Solanum lycopersicum: one gene and its partners. The protein of the gene in region 6 binds, or shares a complex with, the protein of the main gene of each other region. Links are inferred from orthologs where the notes say so. Each region holds a gene or a part of one and is shown on either strand. Other genes may lie near its edges.

Evidence for each region.
Region 1: photosynthetic NDH subunit of subcomplex B 1, chloroplastic (region 6) and photosynthetic NDH subunit of lumenal location 2, chloroplastic share a complex: the UniProt entries of both Arabidopsis thaliana proteins name them as parts of the chloroplast NDH complex. The link is inferred for Solanum lycopersicum from reciprocal best matches to the Arabidopsis thaliana genes PnsB1 and PnsL2.
Region 2: photosynthetic NDH subunit of subcomplex B 1, chloroplastic (region 6) and NAD(P)H-quinone oxidoreductase subunit O, chloroplastic share a complex: the UniProt entries of both Arabidopsis thaliana proteins name them as parts of the chloroplast NDH complex. The link is inferred for Solanum lycopersicum from reciprocal best matches to the Arabidopsis thaliana genes PnsB1 and NdhO.
Region 3: photosynthetic NDH subunit of subcomplex B 1, chloroplastic (region 6) and NAD(P)H-quinone oxidoreductase subunit N, chloroplastic share a complex: the UniProt entries of both Arabidopsis thaliana proteins name them as parts of the chloroplast NDH complex. The link is inferred for Solanum lycopersicum from reciprocal best matches to the Arabidopsis thaliana genes PnsB1 and NdhN.
Region 4: photosynthetic NDH subunit of subcomplex B 1, chloroplastic (region 6) and ORR share a complex: the UniProt entries of both Arabidopsis thaliana proteins name them as parts of the chloroplast NDH complex. The link is inferred for Solanum lycopersicum from reciprocal best matches to the Arabidopsis thaliana genes PnsB1 and NdhM.
Region 5: photosynthetic NDH subunit of subcomplex B 1, chloroplastic (region 6) and photosynthetic NDH subunit of subcomplex B 4, chloroplastic share a complex: the UniProt entries of both Arabidopsis thaliana proteins name them as parts of the chloroplast NDH complex. The link is inferred for Solanum lycopersicum from reciprocal best matches to the Arabidopsis thaliana genes PnsB1 and PnsB4.
Region 7: photosynthetic NDH subunit of subcomplex B 1, chloroplastic (region 6) and photosynthetic NDH subunit of lumenal location 5, chloroplastic share a complex: the UniProt entries of both Arabidopsis thaliana proteins name them as parts of the chloroplast NDH complex. The link is inferred for Solanum lycopersicum from reciprocal best matches to the Arabidopsis thaliana genes PnsB1 and Pnsl5.

What each region holds. Positions count from the first base shown.
Region 1 is NC_090804.1:2,507,301-2,511,756, forward strand, and holds photosynthetic NDH subunit of lumenal location 2, chloroplastic, read left to right. Parts: upstream 1-1,874; 5' UTR 1,875-1,915; coding exon 1,916-2,398; intron 2,399-2,488; coding exon 2,489-2,587; 3' UTR 2,588-2,607; exon of another isoform or gene 2,608-2,702; intron 2,703-2,802; exon of another isoform or gene 2,803-2,941; coding exon of another isoform or gene 2,942-3,157; intron 3,158-3,250; coding exon of another isoform or gene 3,251-3,374; intron 3,375-3,465; coding exon of another isoform or gene 3,466-3,683; 3' UTR 3,684-3,879; downstream 3,880-4,456. Other genes in the region: casparian strip membrane protein 2, read right to left, coding at 2,942-3,157, 3,251-3,374, 3,466-3,683. UniProt on the Arabidopsis thaliana protein: NDH shuttles electrons from NAD(P)H:plastoquinone, via FMN and iron-sulfur (Fe-S) centers, to quinones in the photosynthetic chain and possibly in a chloroplast respiratory chain.
Region 2 is NC_090810.1:1,415,073-1,419,295, forward strand, and holds NAD(P)H-quinone oxidoreductase subunit O, chloroplastic, read right to left. Parts: upstream 2,449-4,223; 5' UTR 2,352-2,448; coding exon 2,123-2,351; intron 2,059-2,122; coding exon 1,982-2,058; coding exon of another isoform or gene 1,950-1,981; intron 1,748-1,949; coding exon 1,682-1,747; intron 1,578-1,681; coding exon 1,536-1,577; intron 1,426-1,535; coding exon 1,366-1,425; intron 999-1,365; coding exon 969-998; 3' UTR 723-968; downstream 1-722. Other genes in the region: uncharacterized protein, read left to right, coding at 1-282. UniProt on the Arabidopsis thaliana protein: NDH shuttles electrons from NAD(P)H:plastoquinone, via FMN and iron-sulfur (Fe-S) centers, to quinones in the photosynthetic chain and possibly in a chloroplast respiratory chain.
Region 3 is NC_090808.1:66,281,821-66,286,599, forward strand, and holds the start of NAD(P)H-quinone oxidoreductase subunit N, chloroplastic, read left to right. Parts: upstream 1-1,857; 5' UTR 1,858-2,127; coding exon 2,128-2,266; intron 2,267-3,757; coding exon 3,758-4,122; intron 4,123-4,214; coding exon 4,215-4,331; intron 4,332-4,425; coding exon 4,426-4,511; intron 4,512-4,779. UniProt on the Arabidopsis thaliana protein: NDH shuttles electrons from NAD(P)H:plastoquinone, via FMN and iron-sulfur (Fe-S) centers, to quinones in the photosynthetic chain and possibly in a chloroplast respiratory chain.
Region 4 is NC_090803.1:56,431,936-56,435,428, reverse strand, and holds ORR (NAD(P)H-quinone oxidoreductase subunit M, chloroplastic), read left to right. Parts: upstream 1-1,516; 5' UTR 1,517-1,626; coding exon 1,627-2,079; intron 2,080-2,190; coding exon 2,191-2,373; 3' UTR 2,374-2,533; downstream 2,534-3,493. Other genes in the region: uncharacterized protein At1g21580, read left to right, coding at 370-843. UniProt on the Arabidopsis thaliana protein: NDH shuttles electrons from NAD(P)H:plastoquinone, via FMN and iron-sulfur (Fe-S) centers, to quinones in the photosynthetic chain and possibly in a chloroplast respiratory chain.
Region 5 is NC_090811.1:46,150,933-46,155,068, forward strand, and holds photosynthetic NDH subunit of subcomplex B 4, chloroplastic, read right to left. Parts: upstream 2,802-4,136; 5' UTR 2,587-2,801; coding exon 2,515-2,586; intron 2,433-2,514; coding exon 2,376-2,432; intron 2,296-2,375; coding exon 2,160-2,295; intron 2,082-2,159; coding exon 2,026-2,081; intron 1,956-2,025; coding exon 1,884-1,955; intron 1,307-1,883; coding exon 1,178-1,306; 3' UTR 1,057-1,177; downstream 1-1,056. UniProt on the Arabidopsis thaliana protein: NDH shuttles electrons from NAD(P)H:plastoquinone, via FMN and iron-sulfur (Fe-S) centers, to quinones in the photosynthetic chain and possibly in a chloroplast respiratory chain.
Region 6 is NC_090802.1:62,985,279-62,989,982, forward strand, and holds photosynthetic NDH subunit of subcomplex B 1, chloroplastic, read right to left. Parts: upstream 3,221-4,704; 5' UTR 3,097-3,220; coding exon 2,512-3,096; intron 2,052-2,511; coding exon 1,861-2,051; intron 1,723-1,860; coding exon 1,465-1,722; intron 1,312-1,464; coding exon 1,206-1,311; intron 952-1,205; coding exon 866-951; intron 770-865; coding exon 604-769; 3' UTR 470-603; downstream 1-469. UniProt on the Arabidopsis thaliana protein: NDH shuttles electrons from NAD(P)H:plastoquinone, via FMN and iron-sulfur (Fe-S) centers, to quinones in the photosynthetic chain and possibly in a chloroplast respiratory chain.
Region 7 is NC_090800.1:5,016,300-5,020,812, reverse strand, and holds the start of photosynthetic NDH subunit of lumenal location 5, chloroplastic, read right to left. Parts: upstream 2,994-4,513; 5' UTR 2,719-2,993; coding exon 2,695-2,718; intron 2,544-2,694; coding exon 2,355-2,543; intron 1,675-2,354; coding exon 1,524-1,674; intron 1,319-1,523; coding exon 1,230-1,318; intron 476-1,229; coding exon 421-475; intron 290-420; coding exon 204-289; intron 1-203. UniProt on the Arabidopsis thaliana protein: NDH shuttles electrons from NAD(P)H:plastoquinone, via FMN and iron-sulfur (Fe-S) centers, to quinones in the photosynthetic chain and possibly in a chloroplast respiratory chain.

The DNA of each region.
Region 1 (4,456 bases), on a different chromosome or scaffold from region 6:
AATACTTCTTAGTGCCGTTCACGGCATCCACTGTGGTACTCCTTAAATACATATACACTTATTTAGTAAAATTATAATATGGTCTTTATGTTTTTTTCCTTAATTGGCAATTAGTATTATATTTTCAAGATAAAATTAGAGAGGTTCACTTGAAACTTGGCATTTTTTGTGTGAACGATAACTTGTATATTGATATGTTTTTTTTATAATAATCTTGATGTTAGGGACAGTTTTCCGCATTATCTCGAGTAGTTTCAGGGGATATCTATCATCTCTCATTACCAATAGATATCAAGTAACTCTGTCCATTAAGGTTATGACAGATGGAAAGAATCACTCTAATATTTCTGGTCTATGCTGAATTTTAAACCTAAGATCTTAAGATTCTCAATCACTTTATTGACTACTAAACCACTCATTCGATGCTTGTAAGTTGATATGTTTACGTTAGGTTTTATGCTTTTTAGGAGTCTTTTAATAGCGTGTTTGACGAAGATACTTATTCAGATCAGCTATAATTTGATAAGTGCATCTTATCCAATAATTTTGAAAAAAGTACTTTGATTCAGTTTGTGTTTAACTAAATTATTGAAAAGTATTTTTATTAGTAATTTATATTTCACTAATATTTTCAAGATGTATTTTTACGCATGTCATAATTCAACGAGTAGCATTATTACTAATTTATAAGTACTTATTTTTTCGCTTAAAGTTTGATCAAGTATTTTTTGTATTTAAAATATTTAATCAAACAAACTATTAACGACCCTTATACTAATAGGGATTACAAAAGAATTCTAATTATTTCTTTTTTTCAGTTAAGTTATAATTCGTTTATATAATTTTATCATCCCAATCCATTCATTTCTCATCTATTATTTTTTGTAAATTAAAGGTGTTGCTTTAATTTGTAAAGCAATTATTATTAGTCCAACTATGTGGGAGCTAGAGACATTAGATATTTTAGCTGTAAAGCAATTATTCATGCACAATCAATAATGTATTATTTTTGCCTAAATTGCTTTATATCTCTTTATTTATGAAGATAATTTATTGATGATTTGATTTGTTATATCAAAAACTAAATAACATGTATTTCATAATTTTAAAGAAGATATAATTTGTTCACAAAAATACTCTCCAGTCATTATAACAAAAATAATCATTAATTGTCGTTAAATATGTATTTTTAGCGGCAATTGACACTCTTTGTATATGTCCATAAAATATTTAGCAACATTGGTTCTAATGATACTTAACTAATGCCGGTAAAGACTTTCGCACTCTTTATCAATGTCAATATTTAATGCCGCCAAAAATTATTTTTGTTGTAGTGTAGAAAAATAACATCATAGACTTCAAGGGTGTTTCTGTCAGTTTCATTATTTTATTTTGGGATAACTAATCCTGATACCATTACTCTGCTCTATGACGGTGATAACTTATTTCAGGAGTGTATAGTTGAAAAATTCAGCATAATTTAAATGGTTTTTAGTGTCTAATCTCAATGTTGAACTCAAATTTGTTTTGATACGAGAATTGAATGCCTCAAGGGAAAAACATAAGAAATTTGTTCGATTGATAGAAGATTGATCCCAACCCGTCAATGAAATAGGGCTACTAGTGTTCAGTCTTGATTGATTCCGAAAAAATGCGAACCAAGTAAAACTAGTTTCAAATTGAACAAGGCCAACCCTAAGTTAAACAAATTCCAAAATTGGGCCAACTAGAACAAAGCCTCTTACACCATTGACCCAACAACACCAAAATTTATTGGGAAAAAAAGAGGATAAAATATTTGCCAAGTCACCAAAACCTAAGGTCCATTTTGGATTTAGGGAAATCAATTAATATCCATCCAAAACACACACAAAAACCATCAAACACTCCTTAGATTTTTTTTTTCAACACAAAAATGACCACTTTCACAAATCCTACAACTTTGTTCCATCCAAAAACCAAAATAACCAAAACTCATCACACACAATGCAAGACACTACCCAAAATCCAATCTAACTTATCAACTAATGAACAAAACTTCTCATGTAGACGCAAACTCATCGCGACTTTTCTAGTCACTCCATTGACACTAGGCCTACAATTCACCCCTTTAGCATTAGCTGAAAATTGGGGCGTTCGATCATTCTTAAGAGAACATTTCTTTGAGCCTGGATTGTCCCCTGAAGATGCAGTAGCACGAATTCGTCAAACAGCAGATGGACTACATAGTATTAAAGAGATGTTGGAGACTAACTCATGGAGGTATGTATTGTTTTATATACGACTTAAATCAGCTTATCTTAAACAGGACGTGAAGAATGCCTTATCCAGGGTGCCTGAAAGTCGAAAAGAGTCTTATATTAAAACTGTCAATGAGCTTACTGATAACATGGCTGAGGTAACTAACTGTCCTTATTTTCCCTGTTCAGAATTTTTCGAGGTTCTATTCAGTGTTATGGATATTTCTATGTATTTTCTTCGTCTGCAGTTTGATTACTACATTCGAACACCAAAGGTATATGAATCTCGTGTATTCTATGAGAAGACGTTGAAATCAATTGATGAATTGGTGGGATTACTTGCATAATAATATCATCAGGCTCAAAGGTGAGTGAATGTTGTAGCAGAAAAATCGCGTTGGTTTAACAAATAAACTGATCGAAAAACGTTGAAATTATATACAATTTTATGTTCATTTATAAGCTTGGTCTGCGAGTTGATGAAATTGGAATCAAGATTACATACGAGTTTATGAGAGAATAACTATTAGTTGAATAAACGTGATATTTGAAGATGAAAACATTGAAGTAAGGAGGAAATCTTTTCATTATGTGATACAACTGATGAAAATCTTGATACAATGAAATGCAACTGATGAAACTAACATTTACAAACACAATACACACACAAAGGCTAGCAATTGCTAGTGTAGCCAACATCTTCAGCGCCTTGATAAAGCGATAGATGACAAAATTATAAGTATAACCATCAAGGCCATTGCACCAAAAGAACCGATAAGGGATCCAGCAGAACGTTGACAGAAATCTGTATACTGTTGGCATATCGAAAACCAGTTAGTTGAAGTGTTGCCATTGTGTGCCAAATACACAATCGCGGCTGCTGCTGATGCTCCAGATGTGAGGAAAACCAGCATTATCTTCAAAAGTTTTCGCAAAGTATAAAAGATATCAGTACAACATCATAACAAAGTACTAAATATGAAAACTTTAGCAGAAATCTAATGTATTACCGCGTCTAGAACAATGAGCAAAACTCTGCTCTTTCCTGCTCTACTTCTGATAATGTGAAAGATTGAAATAGTGATAGAAAGTGCAAGATATACACAAACTATAGAATTCGAAACCACGAAGAACCTTCAATCAGAATAAGCAAAACAAAAAAATGTGTTAGTTAACCTTTATACTGTTCTATTTCATGTAATAATATGTTTGCAGTTTTGCTTACTTGAACGAGTCGATATCATCATACTGAGCTTCAAAATTTACAATCTGTGTACTGAATGGAAGTGCTTGATCTGCAGTACCCATTGCCACAGCACTTGCTAAGGTTCCAACAAGTGCAACGATACGTAAAACAAGATCAAATACAGAGATTCCTCTGTTCACTCCATGAACTCTTTTGGCCTTTGATCCCTCTCCAGTTTCAATTGATACTGCCTTCATTTTTTCCTTTTAGCTCAAACTTTGAAACTAGAATGAAATTTTGTTGTTATGATTTGTATGTCAAGTGTGATGCGAATTTATACTAACAAGTGAACCAAATCATGTAACAGAGTTACAAATAGTATTAGGTTTTGATGACACATAATTAGTTGTTGCTTTTGCTTATTTAATCAATGAAATGTACAACTTTCTGGTTCATGATATTCCATAAAGTAGTTAAGTCTTGCATTAACTTGCTACACTTTTTACCTGCTCTACTTTCTTCCTAACATGTATTTTGAAAATGTATTTTTTCTCGAGAAAATGTATCATTATATACGAGAAATCGCGATATTAAAACAGCACACGACACGTTGCAATCCATTTGAGAAGGGTAGTATGTATGCATACGTCACTTTTAACTTTATGGAATTGAGAGGTTGTTCCCGATAAAAACTTCAACATTCTTTGTCCTATCTTTTTTTTCTTTTTTAATGTTTTGCAAACACACTTTATGATCATTGATTTATTATATTAGGTCAATTGATAATATACTAATAACAATGGTTATGGTCCTAAATGGTTTTTTGGATTAGGCACAAAGTTCTACTTGAACATAAGAATCAAACATGAGAAATTAGAATACTAGAAAGTAAAATAATGAATAGGTTGACTTTTTGATTAACAATGAGAAATAAAATAAAGAACAAGTTTATGGAGTAGGTCAAAATCTATCCAAAAAAAAGTTGTGAAACGTGTAATTTCATTTTTTCAATTCAAAATTTTAACAAAAA
Region 2 (4,223 bases), on a different chromosome or scaffold from region 6:
TGTTCCGACAAGTTAGAGGCTATTTCATTTAAGCAGGAAGAAGTTGTGGTGGACACTGGTAAGACCTTGGCAGTAAGTGAAAGTTCAGACATCAGGAGTAAAGAGAGCTTGTTGCACAGAAAAACAGAGAATTGTATTTTTGAGTCAGCGGTTGGATTGTCAAACAGTTATAACCCAAGTTTGCGGAAATTATACCGGTCTATGCATGTACCAGTGCCCCGACCCCTTGCTTCGTTGACAGAGCTTATGAATGCTACTAAGCGTGCTAGGAGAAGGCTGTAAGTTCTGATTTTTCCTGGCATCATTTCTTCATTAATTTCTTCATTTCATTCTCCACCCTCATCGCTTTCAGATATTGATACCAAGTACAGCATTGTTTACAGAAAAAAATACAGATAACTTATACTCCATACCACCTGTTCTTCACCTTCCCTTTTTACAGGCTGCTGTACACTGAGACTTTCCAGTTACCTGCCTACTGTATATTGTGTGTACACTATAATTTTATGAAAAAATTAATGGTACATTGAGACGTACATTTCGATATTCATTTATAAACCGACTCCATTCTATTCAATATGGAAGGTATTTTGTGTTTAACTGATATCATATTTCAGTTCTATCCTTCCCAGACCCCACTTGTGGGATTACATTGGGTATGTTGCTGTTTATTTATATTTCAGTTGATCTAGAACGTCTCTTGATTGTTACTGGAAGCTGTCTTTTACCTACTGAATAGTCCAGGATTGTTATATTAAGCTTCTTAAGAATCAATTTAACGATTATTTAGTGTCAACTGAGAAGCTGATTGAGTGATCTTTAAGGAATAATAATATATTTAGCAATAAGTAAATTCTGGAGGTGTGTCCATCTCATCTCTCTTCATCTCTGATGAGCAGCGGTCAATCTGATGCTCCACTTTGATTTACTCGTCTGGCATGTACTGGTCTGTAACTGTGGACTCGCCACTATATTCTCTCGTAATCCAGCTTATCAGACTGCAAAATTTGTTATTGGTTAGGGAATGTGTGATTACGCAACAGACCACTTGCTTTTTAGCAAGGTGGAAACTGTATCATCAAATAAAGATACGATACTTGGGAGGATTGCTTAAGTTCATATAAGCAAACCACCAGTCCATTCCGGATACTTGGGAGGATTGCTTAAGTTCATATAAGCAACCCACCGGTCCATTCCCCAAACCTCCGTGCAGTTAATTGCTATGAGTTTGTCCAAAATAATTTTCACCAGAGATTCTCATTTGAAGTGCAAGGAGGTTTTTTTAATAGTGTACCATAAAAGGTACTCATGAAATGATGCAAATTGCTGCTTTAGTATTTTGAATGATTTCAAAAGGCTAATTACCTTAATTAGCATCTCTGTTGGAAGCCAAGCTGGTGCAGTTGGTATTCCGATCCATCCAATCTGCAGCATAGGTAAACTCTCAACTTTGATCTCTTTATATATTCAGTGAAATTTATGTTTCGAGGTGTGTTTTGATATAATAAATTGAATTTCGAAAAAAATATACTTACAAGTGCATATTCTCCTGTCTCGAATATACGAATATCCAATACCTAAACAGATATATGATTAGTTTATTTTATAAATAACATGTTGTTCCAAATTGTATTTTGTTATCCCTTTTGACATGATCTATAGAGAAATAAGAAAATGGTACCTCACCACGGTCTTCATATATGTAGTCCAGACCTTTGTAATAAGGTGGATGATCAACAGACAAATACTGAAGAAATTTATACAAAAATATACAGTCAAATTCCAGTGCAAGGGTGTCCACAACTTCCAATTCAGATTATTATCATCATTCATAAGCATGTAGAGGATACAATGCTGATTGGTAAAAAATTATAGTATATATATCTTTATTAAAGAAGTCCCACTAAATAGGTCTGAGAAGGTAGAGTGTACATAAACCTTATCATTACCTCGTGAAGTAGCAAAAAAAAACAAAACTCACATTGATGCTATTCAGATACTTCTCCTTTTCCACCCTGACTATCTGACCTTTCTTCACTGCCAACCAAAACAAAAAAGCTAAACTTCTATAAACAAAAAATTAGTGAAATTTGAGACATTTTCATGAAATAGTACTACTCACTAGAATAAACCGGTTTTTTAGGCTTTGTTGCGGTGGCTGTTGTACTAGAAGAAGTTGTTGTTGCTGCTGCTGCTTGAGATTTTGGCTTCTCATTATTTTCTTGTGGTTCAGATGAACTATTTTCTGCTTTAATAACAAAAGGGCTATAATTAATCCTATTTTTTCTTGTTTGTGAAAAAGATGATGAATATATGAAGGAGGTGTGTGAAAATGCAGCAGAGAAAGCCATCTCTATAGTTTTTTTTTTTTTTTTTTGGAGATATAACTAGTTTAGTTGTGGCCAATATAAGTAGATAAGGGCATGCCCTTTTTCCCCCTTCTTCAACGGCCAGATTTGAATAACAAAAATTAGTCTGCTAATAAATGGGATTACTCTATTCTCGGTTAAGGATTTCGAGTTTGAATACTGAATTTCGATGTCATTTTTGTTGAAAATTACTGTGGACGTCCGTTAGAACTTTTATCTATGGAGCCAATTGGTTGTCACGGTCAAAACGACCATTTTAAAGGTCAAACCATCTTTTTAGTGATCCAGAATTTTAACGTTATTTGCCGAAAATTAACATAGTTAAAACCTTATCTATGGGGCATATTGGCCACTACAGCTAAAAAGGACCCATTTTCAAGGTTAAACGAGTTTAGAGTAGGTAAACCCCCAATTTTGTCGAGTGTTCTGTGCTATAGTCTATGAAATTTTTGGTGAATAAGAACTCTGACGTCATATTTTCTGAATTAACATGGATGATTGTTAAGATCTTATCAATGGAGTCAGTTAGTCACCACGATCAAAACACCCCATTTTGAAGGTCAAACGATCCAGAGCAGGTAAACCCTCATTTTTTTCAATTTTTGTTTACAAGTAGGTAAAAAACAGATTTTATCGATTTTCGTATGACATAACCCATAAATTATTTTTACCCAAAAATTCAAAACAAAATGGTCGAATTTTTTCATGGACGTCCTTTAAAAACTTAGAAATAAAACTAGCTCGTCTCGTGGAGAAAAATGATGCATTTTTAAGTTCAAACGTGCCCAAAGCAGGCAAAGACATATTTTACCAATTTTTATGTGTTATATCACATGATTTTCTTTTTGATTCGGGAATATAAAAAAATGGCCAAATTCTTTTGACATCCGTTAAAACCATATAAATTGAACCAGTTCGTCCCGCAGGGAAAAATCGTGCATTTTCAAGTTCAACTGAACCCCAGAGCAAGAAATTTGATAAAATTTGTCTTTGTCTGCTTTGGAATTTGTTTAAACTTGAAAATGTGTCTTTTTTCCCCGCAGGACGAAGTGGTTCCATTTTAAGGTCTTAATGGTCGTCTATTAAATATGCGGTCATTTTGTTTTAGGATTTATGGATAAAAAATATTATGGGCTATAACACACTAAAATCGATAAAAACTACCTTTGCCTTCTTAGGGGCTCGTTTGAATTATAAAATACATCATTTTTCCCCGCGGGATGAACTCGTTTCATTCCTTAGCTCTTTACGGACGCCATGAAAAATTTTGGCCATATTGTTTGGAAATTTTTGGATTTAAAAAAATTCATGGGCTATGCACACAAAAATCGATAAGATATGTCTTTATCTATTTTAGGGTTCGTTTAAACTTGAAAATGCACAATTTTTCCATGCAGGACAAATTGATTCCATTTTAAGGTCTTAACGGACTTCCATGAGTAATTTCAGCCATTGTTTGGAAATTTCTGATGAAAAATATAACACATAAAAATTGGTAAAATTTGCCTTTGCCTTCTTTGGGGCTCGTTTGAACTTGAAAATTCACAATTTTTCTTCGCGAGAAGAACATATTCTATTTCTAAGGTCTTAACAAGTGTCTATGAAAAATTTTGATCATTTGTTTCCAAATATTCGAATAAGAAAATCCATGAGCTATAACACATGAAAATCGACAAAACCCGTCTTTACCTACTTTGGGCTCGTTTGAACTTGAAAATGCTTCATTTTTTCTCGCGGGATAAACAAGTTTCATTTCTAAGGTCTTAATAGATGTTCATGGAATATTTTGCCCATTTTATTTTGGGATTTCCGGAAAAAAAATTCATGGGTTATAACACATGAAAATTAGTAAAA
Region 3 (4,779 bases), on a different chromosome or scaffold from region 6:
TTCTAAAAAAGGAGATAAACTAGGCTTTTAACGTAGATTTCTGCCTCAACATATGGAGCAAAGTTAGTAACCTCTAGATATTTGATCGAGTCATTCTATGGATTATATTTCCCCAAACGTGATTCAATTTTAAGCAAAATGTCCCCATTTGACAAAAAAGGGGCAAACCCTACAAACATGGTATAAATTCATTATGAGACTTGATAGTAAACAACTTTGTCCTAGATTCTTCAACTCCATACTCCGCATAACCCAGATGTCTGCACCCTGCATGTAATTACAGAACACAGAAAGATCACTTTTAAGCACTCCTAGTAAGAAATGACCATAATCATTAAAGTTAAAATTGCAGCGCTTTTCTATCTCTACACATTTCTCATCACACAAATCAATAGAAGAAATGTTCATGCCCATTTCAATCCAATGAAGTTTCCCTTACACAAGCTTACCCCGAAAATGGAAAAAAAATCTATCTTTAAACTCCGTTAATACGCCTCCCATAAACTCCTTAGACAATATATCTGGACCTCAACACGACATAGACGCATATTTCTGTAAACAGGGCAAACTCCCACTACGTTGTAATCATCTTGAAGCACATCAACGCAAAACCAAATCTGCTATCCCCAGGTTCCTCCACTTGATATCCACCACATCGATTAAGTCTATAACTAGGCAACTTGCTATACTTTCTAATTGACGGATTCCATATAAACAAGTCATGCAATTTGTTACATAGGCAACACAAATCAATCTGTTTACCGAACCCACCAGCCAAGGATAGTCTTTGGAAATTTTACCTGGATAATCCAAGTCAATTACCTCCTTTACAGAATGGCGATGTAAATCACTACACATAACTAGCCAACATAAATAGCAACCTTAAACATAACTCCTTGTTACTAGCACAAAATAAGAGATGCGTCTTCACAAATTTAGGGATAGAGATTAAGGAAAGCCAAGATTTCGACACAGACCTGAATTGTAAAAGGGATTTCACCGGAAGCCTTAACAAAACTAAATCTTTGCTTGAAATGGACTGAATTTCCATGGGTTTGCTCCGCTTTGGGAGGCTTCGTCCTCTTTGGATTCCATTTGGGTTTTGCAGAAATGGGAAATCTTTGAGGTTTCGATAGGGAGATTACTATATAAAAAGCCCTAAAGTTTGTCTTTTTTATTTTCCCTCTTACAACAGAGCTGGTTTTAGTTTTTATGTTTTAATACTATATAAATAATATTTTCACTGGTAATTTATATTTTAAAATCATTATATATTGAGTGTTGGTTATATTTTGTTATCTTAAACAACTTATGTCTTATAAGGTATAAATTTATTTTCAAAATATGATGCAGGAATCAAAGCACCATAGTACGTGTTCTAGTTAAAGGAAGGAGATATATGTGCTCCAATTATTTTTGGAGTTCTGTTATGTGTTTCAAAAGTTTTACTAGTAATTATTGTGAAACATTGTCTTTTTTAGATGTTAATGGTCGTATCACAATTCATATTTTATCTGTGGTGAACGTTCTTACTCCTTATGAATTTTACAATGAATACTTAACTTTGTTTTATTTTAAAAATTCAAAATATAAAAGAATAAAAATTAATTTATTTGAAGGACAACTTATGCAATTAAATAGGATGTTTGGAAATTTCATAATCTTTACTTGGATTTTGGATTTTCAATCCAAAATATATAAATTAGGTTTAAGTTTGGCTTTTGTTCTTTTCTAAATCACAAAATTATTTCATTAAAAAAGTTACAATAGAGTTTGAACTCTCACCTTATGATTATTATTCTAGCTATGTTTGAATATACAATATAAAATTAAAATTTGAATAACTAATTTGAGATTATGTTATCTCAAATTTTAAATTCTCCCCAAAACATCATTTCAATTTTTAAAATATAGAACTTATCCCATAAATTTATATAGCTAATATTATTATGCATATTTAAATATTTGTTATTTGTAATTTCTTTATTGTAAAGTTTATCAGCACATTTATTGAGTGGCAAGGAACAAAGTAGTCATCTTTGTCCAAGTTTGCAATGGTCCTTCCACAGTCTCTGTTGCTATAGCTGCCTACTGCCACCACTCACACACTGCCACCAAAATACCCAAATGACAACTCTCTCCTACACCTTCCCTAGCACCACCAGCAGCAGCAGCAGCACTAGGAGGTTCTTGATTACTAGCAATGGGTCTTCTTGCCGGCGGCGCCCCAATATTTCCACTGAAGACCAACCCTGTTCCTCTTCAGGTCATCCCCAATAACCCCTTTCTCTGTGTGTGTGCGCAGTGTGAAGATTTATAATGCTTAATTGATATTATGGGTTGTTACAATATCTTGATATTAGGGTGATCACTAAAAAAGTGAAAAGATCAAGACTTTGTAATAATATTGCATCTGTGTGAGGTGGGGTGTTAATTTTTATTTTTTTTTAAAAAAAAGGGGTTCATATTGGTGGTTAAGGCTTGAGCACCTCCTACCTTTGAGGTAGTTTAGATAGGCCTAAAACTTAATTTTACATGGTATGAGTACCAGGTTCATTCCCGGTGTGAGCTTTTGGTTCTCGCTCTCAAGGGGCCTAAGCGTGAAGGAGGGTGTATGGTTTTGCGATTGAGTTAGGTCCGGATGACAATATCTTTACGGACTTGATAACTTAATGGTTGATTCAAGCTTGTTAAATGTAAATATTAAGTTATGTAGGGAGTGGAAGTATGCATTTTACTTAATAATGTTTTGAAGTTGTGTACAAATTCAGCTTCAACTCACATTTGTTCCCAATTTTCAGCTTTATGGTTCAATATCATGGTGTGTGTGTGTGTGTGTGTGAAGATGTATAACGTTTAGTTGCTATTATGTGTTGTTATAATATCTTGATATTAGGGGGATGGTTAAAGAACTGAAAAGATCAAGACTTAACTTAATGGACTATTCAATCTTGTTAAATGTGAATATTTAGTTGAGTAGGGAGTGATATGTACACTTTACTTAATTCTGTTTTTAAGCTATGGTTTGGGTGTGTAGAGATTCAGCTTCTACTCGCATTTGTTCCCAATTTTCAGATTTATAGTTCAATATCACGGTGTGCGTGTGTGTGAAGACGTATGCTTAGTTGCTATTATGTGTTGTTACAAAATTAGGGTGATGGTTAAAGAACTAAAAAGATCAAGACTTGATATCATAATGGGTGATTCCAGCTTGTTATATGTAAATATTAGTGGGGTAGGTAGTGAAAGTGTACATTTACTTAATTATGTTTTGAAGTTTTGTTTTTTGGGTGAGTAGAGATTCAGCTCCAACTCACATTTGTTCCCGATTGTTATTGTTTTACATGGTATGAAATCCAGACTTTCCCTAATATTGGTCTATAAAGCTGAAAATGTTTGTGCTTACTGTTATGCACTGTCACATTAAGCAGTGCATTGGCAATGTTTCTAGCCATTGTTGACAATGGTAAAAACTGACTTCTGGTTCTCGAGTTTCACAGGTTGCTTACAGTAGGCACCCTTTCAGTTCTCCCTGTAACATAATCTTATCAGTTCTCTTTGGAAAATGACTTATTTATAACTTTTTCTACCTTTTACATGTGGAAATGCACACTTGCAGCACCAAAATGATACTGTTATCCTGTTCGCATTAATTAAATTTTGAGAGTGATGTCTTAACGTTCAATGTTTTTCATTATGATGCCTTTGTTCTTTCGGTCATGTACCATGAAATCTGAATTAAAATGGCAAAATGCAGCCTGTTATCAAGGGGCAGTGCAGTCTTATGGTCTGCAGAAGCAACGAGTACAATTAAATGGCATATCAAAGGCTGTGAGAACGAGAAGACTTGATTCAGTTGGAAGACAAAAGAAAGGAGCAATTAGATGTAACATTGAACTTCAGGACTTCATAGGTGGAGATCTCATTAAACCTGATTTGGGTCAATGGTTATCAGATGTGGAAGAACACAAAGCCATAGCAATTTACTCTCCTCATGAAGGGGGCTATGAAGGACGCTACCTTACACGTCTTAAGTACCAGGGATATCATTTCTTGGACCTTTCGGCTCGTGGCCTCGGTGACCCTGAAACCACTCTTACCAAATTCCACCCTGTCTGCCCTGTAAGTTTAGCAGTTCGCATACGATATGCTTATTCTCAAACACTAACTTGCAGTGTCTAATTGACTCTCATCTGCAAATTTTGATGTTGCAGGCTCATGTTGGTAAGCAACCAATAGCTAGATGGTATTTTCCTCCAGAAGTTGATTATAGGCTTTCTTTACTTCCTCCGGATGCTAAAGGATTAGTGGTTTGGATAATAGAAGCCAAGGTTAAATCCACCCCTTCAAGTGTACATCATCTAATTAGTCCATCAGCAGTATTTTGACTAGATCTTTGTTAACTGTTTGACCTAAAATGTTCAGGTCTTATCAAAGGCAGAGCTGCAGTTTCTTGCTTTACTCCCGACACTTCGTCCTAATGTGAGGGTCATTGCAGAGTGTGGTAACTGGTAAGATTTTCCTTTCATCTTCCTTTTTCTTGTTTATCAATCAACTCTCTTGTAAATAAGGAAACTTTGAGATCTTGTCGTTGTGGTTAAAACAACATTGTATGCAAAAGCTACCTGGATTTACTTCAGTTTAGCCTTCTGTGGTCAATGCTACATACTTTATCATCATTCTTAGCTTGTAGATGCAAGAGTCAGGACAAGTACTTTAATAAAGATAGCATCTTTTGGTTTTCTTTTTTTTCATCTTTTTAGAATTGCCGAAGGTCAA
Region 4 (3,493 bases), on a different chromosome or scaffold from region 6:
TTATGTTTGGTTAGTTTATCACACAGTTTTATGTTTGGTTGATTCCTGGTTCCTGGACAAGCTTGTCCCTATCCCAAACTTGTTATAACTGATGAGGCTAGTCTCCACACTTCCCCATGAATGAAGTAGTGGGGACCCTTACCTCTTCTTGTTTGCCATTTTTTGTTTTTGGAATGACTTCCTTGATATAGCTATATTTTCAACCGGTGATTTTGCCAAGTATTTTTACCTATTATGTCACCTCTTTCTCTGAATGCAACTATTTCAGTATTATTTTAATATGTTCTTTACAATAGATGTAGATCATCACAAACACACAACACTCTAATCTTGAAACTTGTGAAATGGGTCATATTTCTAAACATGCAGTGTCAGAAGAAACACACCTATGTCTGCCCCGTTTTTGAAGCAACTGGCAACTGTCCCAAAGGTTCAAACTGCAAGCTTCACCATCCGAAGAACAGAAGGAAGGGAGCGAAAAGGAAAGCTTTGAGCGAGTTAAAGAATGGTCGAGGTCGTTACTTTGGCTCTCCGCACATTCATATTTCTGAGTGCATAACAGCTGGATCAGAGAAGCCTTCTGTCAAGGGGAATAATGACATATTCCTTGAAGGGAAGTTTGTCGATTTTATTAGCCTAGATGGTAGTGACGAAGAGGAACAGACTATTGATCAGAGAAGCGAGGAAAAGCCACTTTGCGAGAGTGGTCCAGCAGAGATGCAACTGGATGATCTCGATGAGCTTATTAAGCCCGTGCGTCTGATAAATAGGAATAGGTCTGTAGGTTCATCTCCCTATATAGATAGCCCAAGTGATATGACCACAAGCTATGTATCAGAGTAGCCTCACCATTGTAAATGAGGTTGTGTAATTAGGTTTATGTAGTGTTCTGCTAGTGCAGAGCAATTTTTTTTCTTTTTATTGTTAGGCTTTTAGTTAATTACTTAGGTATAGGTCTTAGGATTAGGCATATTTTTTGTTTCGCAAAATCTGTTGTGTGAGATAGAACAAGAAAACTGTTGTTATAGTGAGAGAATTAAAGGAAATGAAAATCTTATCCCCTATGTACAAGTCTTTATTGGAAGCTGTTTGACTTTTGTTCTTTAACAATTTTCAAGTCAATCTGAACTCTCTTATTGAGTCTTTATCACAGGTGATAATGAACCTGTAGATTCAATCAGCTGGTGTTATGTTTATTTTACTTTTGACAGGTAAGCATTCTTTTTTTGTAGTGATGAATACACGGATAAAAAAGATTGTTTTTAATAGATCCACCACCATACGAACTTCTGAACTTAAATTTTTTGGTTTTGTCTATATAAGTGAAACGCCCTGCATACTTATCTTTCATGGCTCGGATTCACTAATTAACCAAACCTTTAAACCTGGTTTAACAGGGATAAAAACGAAAGTAATTTAAGTACCTCAAAGTGAGTAATTTGTAATTAACCTTTTATTAAGCACAGCCACAGAACAAAAAAAATATAAGATAATAAAAAGAAGCCATATGTAAGCAAACATTTCCTATCCACACAAAAAGGAGGATATATTAATATCCCAATACCAACATTCAAGAAAAGGCCATAAAAATCACACATAACAAAACACTAGGAGAAAGGGGGAAACATGGCAGCAACTTCAACATACATGGCTTCAACCCATTTCAGCATGTTAAGTTGGAGCACAAAGGGAAAGAATAAACAACTCAAAAGGAGAAACTTCTTCTCAGTTTCAGCACAGCAAGCAGAAGTTGAAGAGTTAAAACTAAAAAAAGAGGAAGAAAAGAAAGAAGAAGAAAAACAAGAAGAGGGGGCAATGAAGAAGCCAAGGCCAGTAGAACCACAAATAAATGTGCAGAGCAAGAACATGACCAGAGAACATGGAGGACAATGGCTCAGTAGTGCTACTAGACATGTTCGAATATATGCAGCTTATATTGATCCCGAAACCTTTGCTTTCGATCAAACACAAATGGATAAACTCACACTCCTTCTTGACCCTACTGATGAATTTGTGTGGACTGATGATACTTGTACCAAAGTCTATTCTTACTTCCAAGAACTTGTTGATCATTATGAGGTAATGAAAACTTCTCTTCATCAATACAAGCTTAATCATGCAATCACTCTTGTACCAAATGGATTAGAAATAGAAATGCTAACTCCAATAACTTTTTATGATCTGGACCAGGGAGCTCCATTGACGGAGTACACGCTTCGCCTGATAGGTTCAGACATAGAGCACTACATAAGAAAACTTCTCTATAATGGAGAAATCCAATACAACATGAATGCAAGAGTTCTTAACTTCAGTATGGGGAAACCAAGAGTTGGGTTCAATTACAATGGACAAATGGAAGATGTAAACCAGTAAATTCAGGTAACAATGTTGACTATATTGAAACAATGAGTAGCAAAAAATGCAGTTGTAACAATGTATAAGAAACTTTCACCTTCTCTGTCTGTTTTGAGAACTTTTCCCAAATGGATTATACACAATACAAATGTTATCTACCTAATCATTGGTGGCAAAAGGGTATTTTATACTGTGGTTTTCATATTCCTAATCATCTAAGCATTGTATCAATACCCCCAATCAAAATTGCAATAGCTTCAAATTTGTTTGAGATTTCCTATATCTACACCACTCCATATATTTAAGCTTACCTCATCTATATTCAACCTACTTTATTATAAAATTATTCGTTTTTTTCCACAAAAATTTTAAAATAATATGTAAAACTTACTAGACTTTAAAACTAACACACTATATTATCTTACATACAAGATTATGTAAGAACAACTATTGATAATGTAAAAAAAAATGAAAATTATTACATCTTATAATTTAATCTTAATAACATAAGTATAAATTAATGATTGTAAAAATATATACTAGAATCTGTAACATAAACAATGGTGGCAGTGAGTCACTAACCGGAGCAATGTACACAAATATTTAATTGTGAAAAAGAAGAAGAAGAGAGACAGAATTTTCGTTCTTTTAAAAGGAGAGAAAATCCCTCTATTTATAGACAAACAAAGAGTAGCGTGAGAAATGTTTATTGTGCCTTATCAGAAAAGTTACAACTATTTAGAAAAGTTGCAACTCATCGGATAGGTCACGACATTTTATAAAAGTCACAACTTTTCATAAAAGTCGTAACTCTTCATTAAAGTCGTAATTTTTTTCATAAAAGTCGCATTTCTTCATTAAGGTCACAACTTTTCATAAAAGCCGCAATTCATCATAAAAATCACAACTCTTCATTGAAGTCGTAACTTTAAATAAAAGTCACAACTTATCATAAAAGTCGCAACTCATCATTGAAGTCGCTACTTTCATAAAAGTCACATTTTTATAAAAGTCACAACTTTTTATAAAAGCTGCAACTTTTCATTAAAATCGCAACTTTCATTAAAGTGACAACTTTTCATAAAAGTCACAATTTTTCATGAAAGGAAAAACTCATTTTGAAAATAAGTAAATTAAC
Region 5 (4,136 bases), on a different chromosome or scaffold from region 6:
TGCATAACTGCAATACAAATGACATTGAGAAATGCATATGACAATGAGAAATGTACTAATGCATATGGCACTAACTCCAATAGATTAATGTAGTTACTCCCATATTCTGTCAATGAATATCCACAAACGTATGTATAAATGAAACAATGAAACGGTCAATATGACAATGTGAATATGCAAATTTCTTTTAATATTAAAATGCCTCTACACTAACATAATTAGTGATTACCTCTCGTCTTCGATTCCAACACTCTTCTTGAGTGACTTCTTAATTATTTTATTAAATTTAGTAACTTTTGAGTTATCAAATAAAGTTGAGTGATTTTCTATGTAAATCATTTTAAATTGAGTAAATTTGTAAGTGAGTTATTCAAAATTGAGTGATTATTATCTCTCAGTTTTATCAAAGGAGCAGGTTCTCTTTATCAGTTTTCCCTGTAATGTTTTAACAACATCTTCAATTCTTTCTGGAGATCTATCAAAGACATGGTTCCTACGTATCACTATTTTTTGTACACAAATTGCCACTTGTACAATGTTTATCAGTCAATAAAAAACTATGCAGTCTTGAATGTAAATTCAGAGATGATATCTTTTGTAGCTTTAAGCCAAAATTCTTTCCAATCTCCTCAACCAGGGAGGGAACATATTGGCCATTATTATTATTTTTTAATTTTATTTTTGAAGACAACGGGATTTCACAGTCACTATTCTTTGGGTGCGCACAAGGTAATTTTTTCGCTCTTATGCAATAGCTCACTACTTGCAAGCCTGCTGCAATGAGTTCGACCCAAAAGGCAAACTTCTTGCTTTCGCTGGCAGGGGGTTTCAAACATGCAAGTCCCAAGGTCAAACTACTGATCCAACCCAAAGGGTTAACAATTTGGCTATTATTGAAGTAATTTTTGATTTCGTGATGTGTATGCCATGAATCTTGTTAAAAGAGCATTGCATGACTTGCTAGTAGCAAATACAAAAAGAGAACTGATTCTGTACAGTGCAAATGTTGACATTGTGACAGTTCATTAAGACAACATTTTGAAGGGGAAATCTGAGTTTTGCAACATAACACTGAATTAAGGCAAAACAGCCATGTTGTATAGAACTGGAAATCATATATTGTATATACATAACTGGGAAGCATCATAAAATTTGTTCTTAGCACATATAAAGATGATCATTTGACCAACTGTTCCTTCTTCCCAGCTTCTTCAAGCTCTCGAAGACTCCCAACCTTTTGTTCAATCTCCTCTATCAGTTCATCACGCCACAGCTCTGCTCTCGCTTCTTCTTCGATGTCTTCTTGCTGCACAATCACAAAATCAGATTTGTAGTATCATTCACTACACAAATATCATGGCATTCCACCTTGTAAAGATATCTATATATCTTGAATAGGACATTTAGGTGCCAAAATTCATGTTGAAACAAATTCAGACAATTCGAAACTAGCTAGTATGATTTTGACATTTATATGCATAAAATTATTTCAGTAAAGTTTTATTTTAGAAACGAGAGATGTTCTTTTAATGGAAAAAACATTCACATCAAGAATTCAGGATTTAGACTACAATTAACTCTTTAAAAACCTTTTTTTCACCTGTCAAAGCTAAAACTCGCATGTGAGGTATAAACTATGATAATCCATGTTTTATCCGTGTGTTTGGTTGGAGGTATTAAGCAGTTCTGAGATTATTTATGATAAGTTATCACATTTACATGATCAAATAATTAATTCGTATAATTAATCCTAATATAACTTGTTCCCAACCAAACGACATATTAACTGAAACCTATAAACATTTCTCTGTCGCGAACAAGAAAGGGTATTTTTCCCTTTTGATTTTCTAACCTTGATAGAAAACGGAAAAGAAAAACTGTACCTTCTCATAGACCCAATGTCCAGTACCATCACCTCCATCTCCTCTGTATTGTTCTGAATCATAGTAAGGATCCTAAAAGAAAAAAGACACATAATAATGAGATACAACTCAATTTTATGAAGTTTAATTTCAAAAATTTTACTTTGGTAGAACCGAAGAAACAGCATCCCCAAACAGTGAACATGATGTAAAATGTATCTACAATGGAGAAAAAATTAGGTGTGAGAATTTTGAATTAGAATGATAAAAATGAATTAGTAAGTAATGATTACTCACAGACATTCTTCATGGCTTCATCACTAAGATGCCAAACAGATTTATGAGTTATGAGGTCTCTTTGACCTTCCATATGCTCAACTAATACTGCCATTAATGGCCAATCTGGGAGTGCCTTCACCCTATTTCTTTCAATCTAATCATAGAAATCCACAGCATTAATTATGCTTTTGCAAACCATACTTGTTCAAATCAATAATAACATGTAAAACCTACCTGGTGCCTCCTGCCTGCATTATTTCCAAAAGGTGAGGTTGGACAATGCCTTAGCTGCTGAGAAAGTGAAAAGAGGTAATTAGTTAAGCAGAATTAATTATAAAAAGATTGAATTTGAGATACAAGTAATGGTTTTAACTGATTTACTGAAAGGGTGCAGCAATTCCGATGTAGGACTAGGAATAGAGGGTTTGATGAATGTGAAGCTCATGATTTGAGTTTGGGATAGTTATTTTTGGGTTCCTCTATTCCTTTTATCCGAGTTATAAGGTTAGGAAAACACATAAGAAAAACACACGGTTCATCTATTCCCTTTATCCGAGTTATAAGGTTAAGAAAACACATAAGAAAAACACACTCTTCTGCTTACTCACAACTATTATTTTCTCAAACAATTTTGGTTTTGTCTTATTCTTCCTTTACCACACATCATACGCATCTTGGATATTGGAATTTAAATCATTGGGATATTTGCTACACTCAATACTTATTTAGCATAAAACTTATTAGAAACATTTATAATTAATGTAGGTGTAAATTACAAAAAATTATATATTATTTTATGTATCATAGAAGATATAACTAAAATATAAATAAGTAATACATAAAAAATGTATTTTCATTACTAATGTTAACATAAAATTATAACTAAAAAGAATTAAAAATATAGAAAAGGGTCTAAAATACCTTCGAAATATTGAAAATGGTACACAATTACCCTCCATCCATCTATTGGCCCCCAAATACCCTTCACACCCACCCTTGGGTCTAAATTTACCCATTCATTAACAAACCAAAATTAAAAATAATTAAATAATAATTTTTAATTACGTGGCACTCAACCATTGATTGTAATTTAATTATTTAAAATAATTTTAAACCCACCTATTTTAACTAAATCCGCCCACTTGACCCAATTTTAAAAATAACCATCTAATTAAAATATGCTAAAACCTTATTCCTCCCATTTTCACAATTTTCATGACTCCATTGTCTTTTCTTCTTCATGAAGAAATTTCCAGCTTCTTCTTCGATTTCTTGCCCTGAAGAACTTCAAAAGGATAATAAAATCCATCACTCCCCCCCCCCCCCTCACCCCCACTTTTTTTTTTTCAACACACACACATCACCTTCCTCTTTTTTCTTTGCAGATCAAGAAACCAGAGCAACTTATAAATAAAAAGTATTATCACTAACTAAAGTCTCCTAATTGCTTAACATCCATCTCTATCTTTCATTATCTTTCCTCTTATTCTACTCACTCTTCACCTTAATTCTTAAAACATTTTCCTAAGATTAAACCATTGAACTAGCTGAATTAAATCAAACAGTAATGCCATTACTGTTTGATTTAATTCAGCTAGTTCAATGGTTTAATCTTAGGAAAATTCAGCTAGTTCAATACCATTTTAATTTTGTGACATTTCTTAAGCATTTGAATTGATCTGGCAAATTGTGTTATCTTTCAAGGAAGATCGAAACGGGATGATGGTAGATGGGCGTGGCAAGATACCCTTCATCGTGATAGTCGTTCCAGTAGTAGCAGCAGGCGTTATGAGCCTTCACCATTGCCAAAGTTTCTTGGTGCTTCACCTGATTCTCGACTCGTTTTCCCATGGCTCGGCGATCATACTCCTCATTCTGCTGGTATGGTGTCTGTGAATTCTAACACTGGCGTTGTTTCGTAAAAATATGGTCATCAGTAAGATCTTCAAGTTTCAGATATGGTGCAAAATCCAGTTTGATTATGTCTTCTACAGG
Region 6 (4,704 bases):
TAGATGATTATCCTATTTATATATTCGTAAGTGAAATACAAAGCACAGCCTCTATAGCAAACATAAATATAGATATAAAGCGTATTTATCAAAACTATAGTTATATAGCCCATTGTTGTGTTTTGCCATTTGTGAAATTTTCTCAAAATTGAAACATTGAGCACAAATTGGGCCAATGATATGGACCCGATTCCACATTTTCGTGGCCCATCCGTCTGCTGAGTCTTTTTACTATTGTTTGCATATATAATACAAAATCATGATTCATAATCAGATTGATTTTGAAGTTAGAAATTCCTTTTAGATATGTCATTTAGATTTTTTTAAGTTTGTGTTTTTCTTAGAAACATGAAAATCGCAAATTGTGAAAACTATCATATTTCTTTATATTTATACAATCTTGCAAAACTTTATAGATATCAGAATGTCCTAAAGTGTCACATTGATAAATAACATATCTCCATATTCCTTTTCTGTTGAGAAAAAAGAACGAATATATATATTTCCGCTTCTATTAATTACAATTGAGAAGAAAATGGAACTAGTAACAATTACAGGAATACTTAATTACTATATGTAAGAGAACTGGAGGATGTATAATATTTAGAAGATTGCTAGGGGCATGGTGAAAATTTGAACAGCACTCTTCACAGCTTCAACATCAATATCAACCAATTTTCCAGTATTTGATGAAATAGTTGCACATTTCTTTGCTTCTGCATTGGGAACAAAACTTCTGGCCTTATCCTCAGAGCAGAATAGCCCAATACTGTACAGACAAAACCAAGATATATCAACCTCCCCACAAAGACAGCAGAAGGTGCAAAAAATTTCCGCGTCTACAGCTTGTAGTAGATGACATTACCTTGGTTTTCCACGTGCGTGAGCAAGTTGTATCGCAGCTGTATTTGTAGCTATCACTCCAGCAGAGTCATCAACAAGAGCAGCAAGCTAAGGCAGAGAAATATGCAGGGACTGTTAGTTTTCTAGTGCTCATCCCGCGGTATATAGACTATAGTTAAAGCTGCCACTAAACATGCAACAGAAGCAAACTACTTTCATTTGATTATACCCTCCTTGAATATGACTGTAAATTGTTGCCATTATATCTGTGACTCCAACCAATTTCTTCTTTTATGGTTGTTCAACTAAACACTGGTTGATCATCGGTCATTGATATTGTGAAAGTGGTTGAGAAAACAAACCTGTCCAGGGGTGGTTATGAACACTATACTAGCATCGTAACCAACTGCATCTTCCACATTTTCTCTTTCTTTTTCGTGTGGAATGACAAAAACTGGCTTGACTCCCCTGATCAAATGATAGTTTACAAACCATTAGTATAGCTCACAAATTTTCTTGCATTTGATGAAAAAAGGCTAATCAGCTAATTCGAGAACTAAAAATGACCATGTAGTCGAGTCGGCCCTTTTTCCGACAGAGAATAAAATACTGACATTATACCTTATCTCCTCTGCTATCTCAGCCCAAATCTCAATAGGGAGCAAGCTATCAATATCACCCCTTGACTGCATAGAAGCTTTTGAATCTGATTTAATCCCATGAATCACAATATATTTGCCTTTCTGTGCACCAACATTCTTATATTTTGCCTCTACAACCTCCCTAACCTTTCTTGAGATTGAAACTTTAAGTGGGGGTAAAGGTTGTCGAGGTACTTTACGAGCTGGTCTGCCCAACCAATCAACCATCTGACGGTACCTATTTCAAAAAAGTGTATGTAAACATGTTTATACAAACTTTGACGAAGTACAACTGTTGCACTTTTCAAACTCCCTATTTTGAAATGAATATTCAGTAGTCAAAAAGATCAAGTTATCAGTTGGAACATCTACTTACATATGATATCCGCCCTCGGAGAGGTTCATGCTTTCTGGTGTAAAAGTTTCTGACAGAAACAATCCTGCTCCTGCAGAATTCACATTTGGGTAAATGTAGCTAACTCTGTCACGAGCAGTCGACATAAACAAAAATACTGCATGTCCAATCCCTGCCAGTTTGGTTGACAAGATCATATCATAGTACCTACTCTGCAACAAACCATGCATTAAAGCAAATAACTTAGCCCAAAAAATGACTATAACTCTCTATTCATAATGCAGGAAGCAAATTCTTTTATCTCTATCTGACTAAACAAGACGAACAGCATCTTGAAGCTAATCTAAGCGATTCTTTTTCCAAACGTAGTCTGCTCAACTTTTGAATTATCTGCAAACTCATAAGATAACCATAGTTAAATCTTCGTATTTAACTAAGTTTCCATATAATGTTTGTTACTTTCTCTAATTTTAGGTGCTAATACATCAAGGCACGACAAGAATCATACTTCAAATGAAACAACTTGCTTAAACCTATGTTGCTCGTAGATTAATGTGTGTCGGATACTTCCAAAAGTAATGCACTTTAAAATCAACATTTTTGAAGAGTCCAAGCAACGTAGAATTTAAATAATTATGAATCGATGTTAATGTTAATGGAACGGCATGAAACCTTAAGAATTCCAAGCATATCCGTATACTCAGCTGGTTCAGGAAAATCATCATCCAGATCATAGGCATTAGCCCACCTCACATTTTTATTCATCTCAAATGTCTGTTTTCCCCTGGCTGTTGCAAGTATATCCACTTGAACACCAGGGTACCTATCCTTAATCATCTGAATTACTGGAAAGAACAGCAAATTCTCATAAACCCCACCATCAATAACACAACAACATCTCCGAACATCACCTCTAATTTTCAAACCCAACGAAGCAATCTCAACAGAGTATCCCATTGGGAATTTGAGAAATCCATATGGGTTATCAGGATTATCAGGTGGCCTTGGATCTTCATCTTGTTTCCCTTCAGAAAAAAGTGAACCATATTCCATTTCAGGATCATCACCATAGTCAAAAGGGTCAAGCCATGGATTTTTTTTCTTGGCATTGAGGCAAAAATTCCCTGATTTTCTGGCGGGAAAAGATGGATTGTGGTTCAAGAAAGGTACATTTGTGACATGGGTTACAGGAAAATTAGGTGGATTAGCAAAGAAAGGAGAAATGGAGTTAGATAGTAGAGTAGTAGAGGCAGCCATTTGAGTGTTATCATAAAATTCTGCAACTTTTTTTGGGGATAGCTAAAAACTATAGCAGAAGGTGACGTTGGATTTCAATGTGTGAAGGTAGTGAGATAAGTAGGTCCCCATTGTTGTCACTATGTTCCTGCCTCGTCATTAGCGATTTTTTGTCTCAATTTATGTCTATCATTTGTATTTTATATTAAATTAAATAATATCATATAAATTATGACGAATGAAAAAGTATTTTTTGTTTTTGTTTTCAATCGAGTGTATGGTAGCCATATTGATAATCTAACTAATTTAAATTGCATAAATTTGATTTTAAAGAGAAAATAATTTTTACTAGAATTTCTTTCGTATTCTGAATCAATATTTTAAAAAGTGAGGTGATTTATATCGTATAGGGCGAGGAGTAAATCCCTGAACACGGGGCGTAAGCCCCATGGGTCTACTAGGCTTAGTCTCATGTATATTTAATATTATAATTTTATTACTAATAAAATAAATAAAAATAAATCTTTCAATGATTATAATTCTTATTTGCAATAAATATTAATAATCAATAATGAAGAAAAATATATTATAATTACTATTTGAAAAATATTATTACACCAATAGTAAAAATATAATTTAAAGTAAAAAAAGTTTTAAATAATAAATTAAAACGTCACTATATACGTTTTACGCCCAGAACTTACGTTTTTTATGCTCAAGACTTACACCTTATGAATTTACTTCTTTCATTTACGCCCTGGAGCATTTTCGATATGGCCCTCCCTGAAACTCGCCCCAAAACGTTTTCAAAAACATCGCCCTGAATTAGCTTTTTGAATTGAGTTAGGTTTAATATATATATATATATATATATATATATTACATATTGATATTCCTTAGCTTTTACATAATTTTATTTTTTTAGATTTTGACACCCCTTAGATAAAATTTTAGCTCCATTACTGTCTGAGACGGAGAAATCCTATCTATGTTGTCAGAATCGTGAGTTATACTACTTGTGTTAATTAAAATACAAAGTGCTAGCAAATAACAAATTATGTATATTGTTGTTCCATCATAGGGAGAATCAAGTACAGTTATCCTAAAAACGATTGCTTAATATGCAATCAAGAAGAAAAAAAGATGCATGAAAAAGGAAAGGAACTTCACAAAATTGTGTAACAATTAAGTCAAAAAAGTAAAGATTATAAACAGAGTCAATTAATGAGATCAAAAGGAAAAAACAAAATATTATTATATATAGAAAAAGAGATAATGAGATCATAAAAGAGAAAAAAAAAGTAAATTCTTAGGCTTTGTTTTATTCACTAAACTAGCTTTGATATGTCACTAATATTTTGACTTATAAGGTAACCTCTTTTATAAAACAGGCTACACTTTTTCTTTTCCTTTCCTTTTTATGATCTTTATCAAAATATGTGAAGATGTTCATGAAACAAAAATTGTACTTGAAAATTCATTTATTAATCTAAAATAATAATAATCTAGAAAACAATTGATAAAATCAAACGTACTAAAAAATAATAAATGAAACTTTAAATTTCTAAATTTTGCTTAAAAATAAATAGATGTAGATTCCACTCCATAATCAAGTACCCATCACAAATT
Region 7 (4,513 bases), on a different chromosome or scaffold from region 6:
GAGCAGCTAAAAATGACTACCTAATGGTCAAAATTCCAAAATGAGCATATAAACCTCTTTAATTTCATATACCCTTTTGCAATATGATAAGAGTACTATTGTAATCACAACTTCGCAGTCAGTATTTTTTTTTTTTTGAAAACAACTTTGCAGTCAGTATTCACAAAAGATATTCAGCTGATTGAGATTCCTATTCCACATACCTTTACAGTGCAAATGAAGAATTGGCTTCCGTTGGTATTAGGCCCTGCATTAGCCATGCTAACAATCCCAGGTCCGGTATGAACCACTGCAATTACACAAGGATTTTTCATCACAAAAGAACATTGAACACAATTGACAATCTGAACCAAAGGGGTCCATTGCCTTAACCACAAGGAGAAGTTTGAAACCAATTTTTAAGAAGAAAATCCAACTTACACTTGAAGTTTTCATCCTTGAAGGTACGACCATATATGCTTTTACCACCGGTTCCCTGCGAATAAAAAATTAAATCCATGGGGGGAAGATTACAATATGCCAGAATGGCAAGTGAAAATTTTCCAAATTATGAACTGCAAACACTAGAACACTCTTCAATCAATCTATGCATATTAAATATTGGAGCAGTCAAGTTGTGTGCAATAACACATTCCACTTAAACAGAATTATTGAATATGGCAGTAGTACATATTCCACTGAGCATCTTAGCTCATGTACTCTTTCACACATTCAACTACTAATCAAAGAAGACATCCCATTCAGAAACATAGAACAAGCAAAGTTACATCATGCAAGTTCATTACTTATTTTTGAAAAAAAGTTTATACCATGAAAATTGATAATTTAGAATACAGAGATCTTACGTTGCTACAAGCATCAGGGAAGTCTCACAAACACAGAACCGAAACAAACTGAAAAACAACCTTTTCTTCTCTGGTTTTCCATGGTAGAAATTGGAGCCATGGAGGATCCAAAAGATGAAGGATAAACCACCAAACAGGAACAAGAAAACACTAGGCAAAGAACTAATTCAGAATTTTGCATTTCTGTTAATTTAAAATCTTGCTCAAGGTGAAACAAGCAAAATAAAAGGCTAAAAGATAAGCACCCAAAACACACCAAGTGTACTACAGAAAATACAATGAACTGGGTGAAGGATGTGTGTGTCAAGAAGAATGCCAATTAGAGGAACAAATAGAAAAAAAAAAGAAAGAAAGAGAAAGCAAACCAGGTGTTGAGACACCTACATTTCCCTTGTCGAAATCACCCCCTTGAATCATGAAATCTTTAATAACACGGTGAAATGCAGAATCCTTGAAGCCAAAGCCCTTCTCACCTGATCGGAAGAAATCAATCCAAACTATAAGCTAAACATAAATGATAGAAAGAATTATATGCATGAAGCTCAAGCAACAAGGCAGAATATTATAGCAATAATGATAATGAGAACAAAAACTGCAATAAAGGTAGTAGTGATAGCAGCACTAGTCATAAGAATATCGACGACAATAATATTAATAACATAAAATCTATTAAAGAACCTGTGCAGAGTGCACGGAAATTTTCAGCTGTCTGTGGCACATCATCACCATATAATCCAATTACAATTCGCCCAGCAAGTTTTCCAACAGGATTCCCAATGCTAATATCAAAATAAACTTTGTTTGTCACTTTGGATTGCAAATCCGCCACCTGGATTTCAATAAATACATTCAGATCTATTAAAAACTTCAACCAAGTAATGAACAAATTATGGAACATTAGTCCCATACAAAAGGCAACATAACACCATGTTTGCTGAAAACTGAACCACAGCCATTCTAATCAATGCTCCAAGACTTAAAAATCCGCTTCCACAATTAACTTTGCTACTTAACAAAAGAAAACACTGCATTATATGACAGTCTTCTCATTTTGGGTCATATTTGACATCTCTATATTTTTATACCAATTTCACAAGTTGTAAGTATTAAAAGTCCTTGTTCCACTCACAAATATTATGAAGAACTAAAATTTCTCTTTTCACAACCTTCGATATAAACTTTTTTTCCAAAAGTTGTTCATAGTTTCTTCTAGCATCACCAATACTATATACAAACCTAATTTAACATATTCTCACATAAAATGAGACAACGAAGTAACACTCAGCCACACATGCCATCTGCAACCAATGTATTCATCTACTTATCCCTTACATTTAGCTCTAGAACTTAAACAGAAAAGTTATTCCTCACAGAAACCCTAGAACGCATATTTACTAGCTCAACGCTAGACATATTGACTCAATCATCAAATTTTCGGCGAAATCAAAGAAGAAACACACAAACAGTAGAGCAATCACTAATAAATTAGCTCAGCGAGCGAGCACAGACCTCCACCGCGGCTTGAATAGAACCAGATGAACCGCCGGTTTTTTTGTGAACCGAACGGTTTGAAGAAGTGTCCAGACGCAACGAACCACCAAATAAGCTTGACGATGAGAATGAAGATTTCAGCAACTTCGGATAAGCAGCATATGTAGGGTTCGCAACTCGTGGAACTGAAATTGAGCCTAAATTCGACTGTAAACGGAGAAACGTTAGTCAACTAAAACAACAACAACAACAACAACAACGCTCTATTTCCAAAAATTAGTGTTATTACTACAAATTAGAAGGCAACACTGAACAACAAAGCTCAACTGCAAATTATTGAGAGGTTAAAGAAACTCACCACTGAAGCAAATGTAGCTGCCATAGTTGCCGATTTCAGTTCTCCGGTACGGCGAGTTGAACTGCAATAGAGATAGAGAGAGAGAGTGTGTGTGGTTGGTGAAAATGAGGGACAAAGATGGTGTGTGACGGAGATGACGAGCCTCAACCCTCTTGTATAGACCGATTAGGTAAACATATCCATTACAAATGGTAAAAAAGTTGTTACTAGAGTATAATATTAGGAAATAGCCTAATTTTTACCATGGTTTAAAGTGCGAGATCGTTTGGTTACTGGATAAGGATTGAGTTACGTTACATAAGTTATACTATATTTGATAGCTCTTTTATGTCAAGATATAATGTTTTAACACACATAATTCTATGTTTCATTAGAAAATTAGAAAACTATTGAAGTAATACATGTATAAGTTATGAGTCAATCCATGAATTATTTTATGCGAGTTCGAGATGAAATAAGTTATACTTGAATAATTAGTACTACATGAATAAAAATATAAATTGACCACTTTACGTTTCACTCTCAATCAAATATACTCCACTTCTTTTTAAATAAACATTCAAATACTCTCTCTATATTTGTAGATCTAGAATGTGACTCTTCATCTTCCAAACAAATAAAATGAAAAAAACTTTCAATTTTGTGTTTTTTCTTTGCCATTAAAAGTTCGAAAACTCTAAACTTGACTTATTTTTTTTATTTTCTTTTTCTCCTCTTGTTTTCTCCTCTTTTAATCTGACGAGAAAGGAATGAAATTCTAGGTCTTCTCAATATATTTTTCAATGAAGTTGATGTTTGAGTACTCCCAATTTTGATGTGAGTTTTGTTTTATTTGTTCAAAAATCGTGTTTTCTAAAAAAGGATTCATTAGGTTTAGTTTCTAAAACTCCAAAAAATGAACATGTATTTGAAGTGTGACAAAATAATATTAATATTTTAGTTATTGAAGTCGAACAAAAATAAGACATTTTACCTTTGTTTTTCAATATTACTTTTTATTTTTTATAAAATTGAACATTTTAGTTTGAAATCATCTATTACCTGTGTATAATAATATTCTCCCATGATGAGCTCCACGTTGAAGCCTTCTATATATATATAATGTTATAAAGAGTACAATGTATCAAGTAGACTATGATTGTGGTAAGAGTACAAGCTTATGTAAATAAGTGTTAGGTAGTGGAGCCTGATTAATTTTAGGTTTTCCTATTTATTCTTTGTAACCAAAAATACTCTGATTTATTAATATAAATATACCTCACCGTCGTAGAAGTTTACTCACGGGGTTTTACCACGAAATATTGAGTTTTCTCTCTCTCTCTCTAGATTTCTCATCTCTTTCTCTTGAAAGTTCTTGTGTTCTTCAATCATCTAGTGTGTGTGCGTGAATCGATCCTAACAACTGGTATCAGAGCTAAGGAGATTCAACACGATCACAGAAGATGGATAGTTCGAAGCTTGGAATCAAGAAGTTTGATGGATCCGATTTCAGTTTCTGGAAGATGCAGATCGAAGATTATCTGTACCAGAAAGATTTTCACGAACCGTTGACCGGGGTGAAGCCGGAATCCATGACGGAGGAGAAGTGGAAACTCAAGGATCGTCAGGCTCTAGGGTTGATCCGGTTGACTTTGTCAAGAAACGTGGCGTTCAACATCGTGAAGGAGAAGACTACGTCCGGTCTGTTGAAAACACTGTCAAACATGTATGAAAAACCATCGGCTATGAACAAGGTATATTTGATGCGTAGATTGTTCAATTTACAGATGTCTGAAACTGATTCGTTTCTGATCATATAAATGAGTTCAATATGATTGTG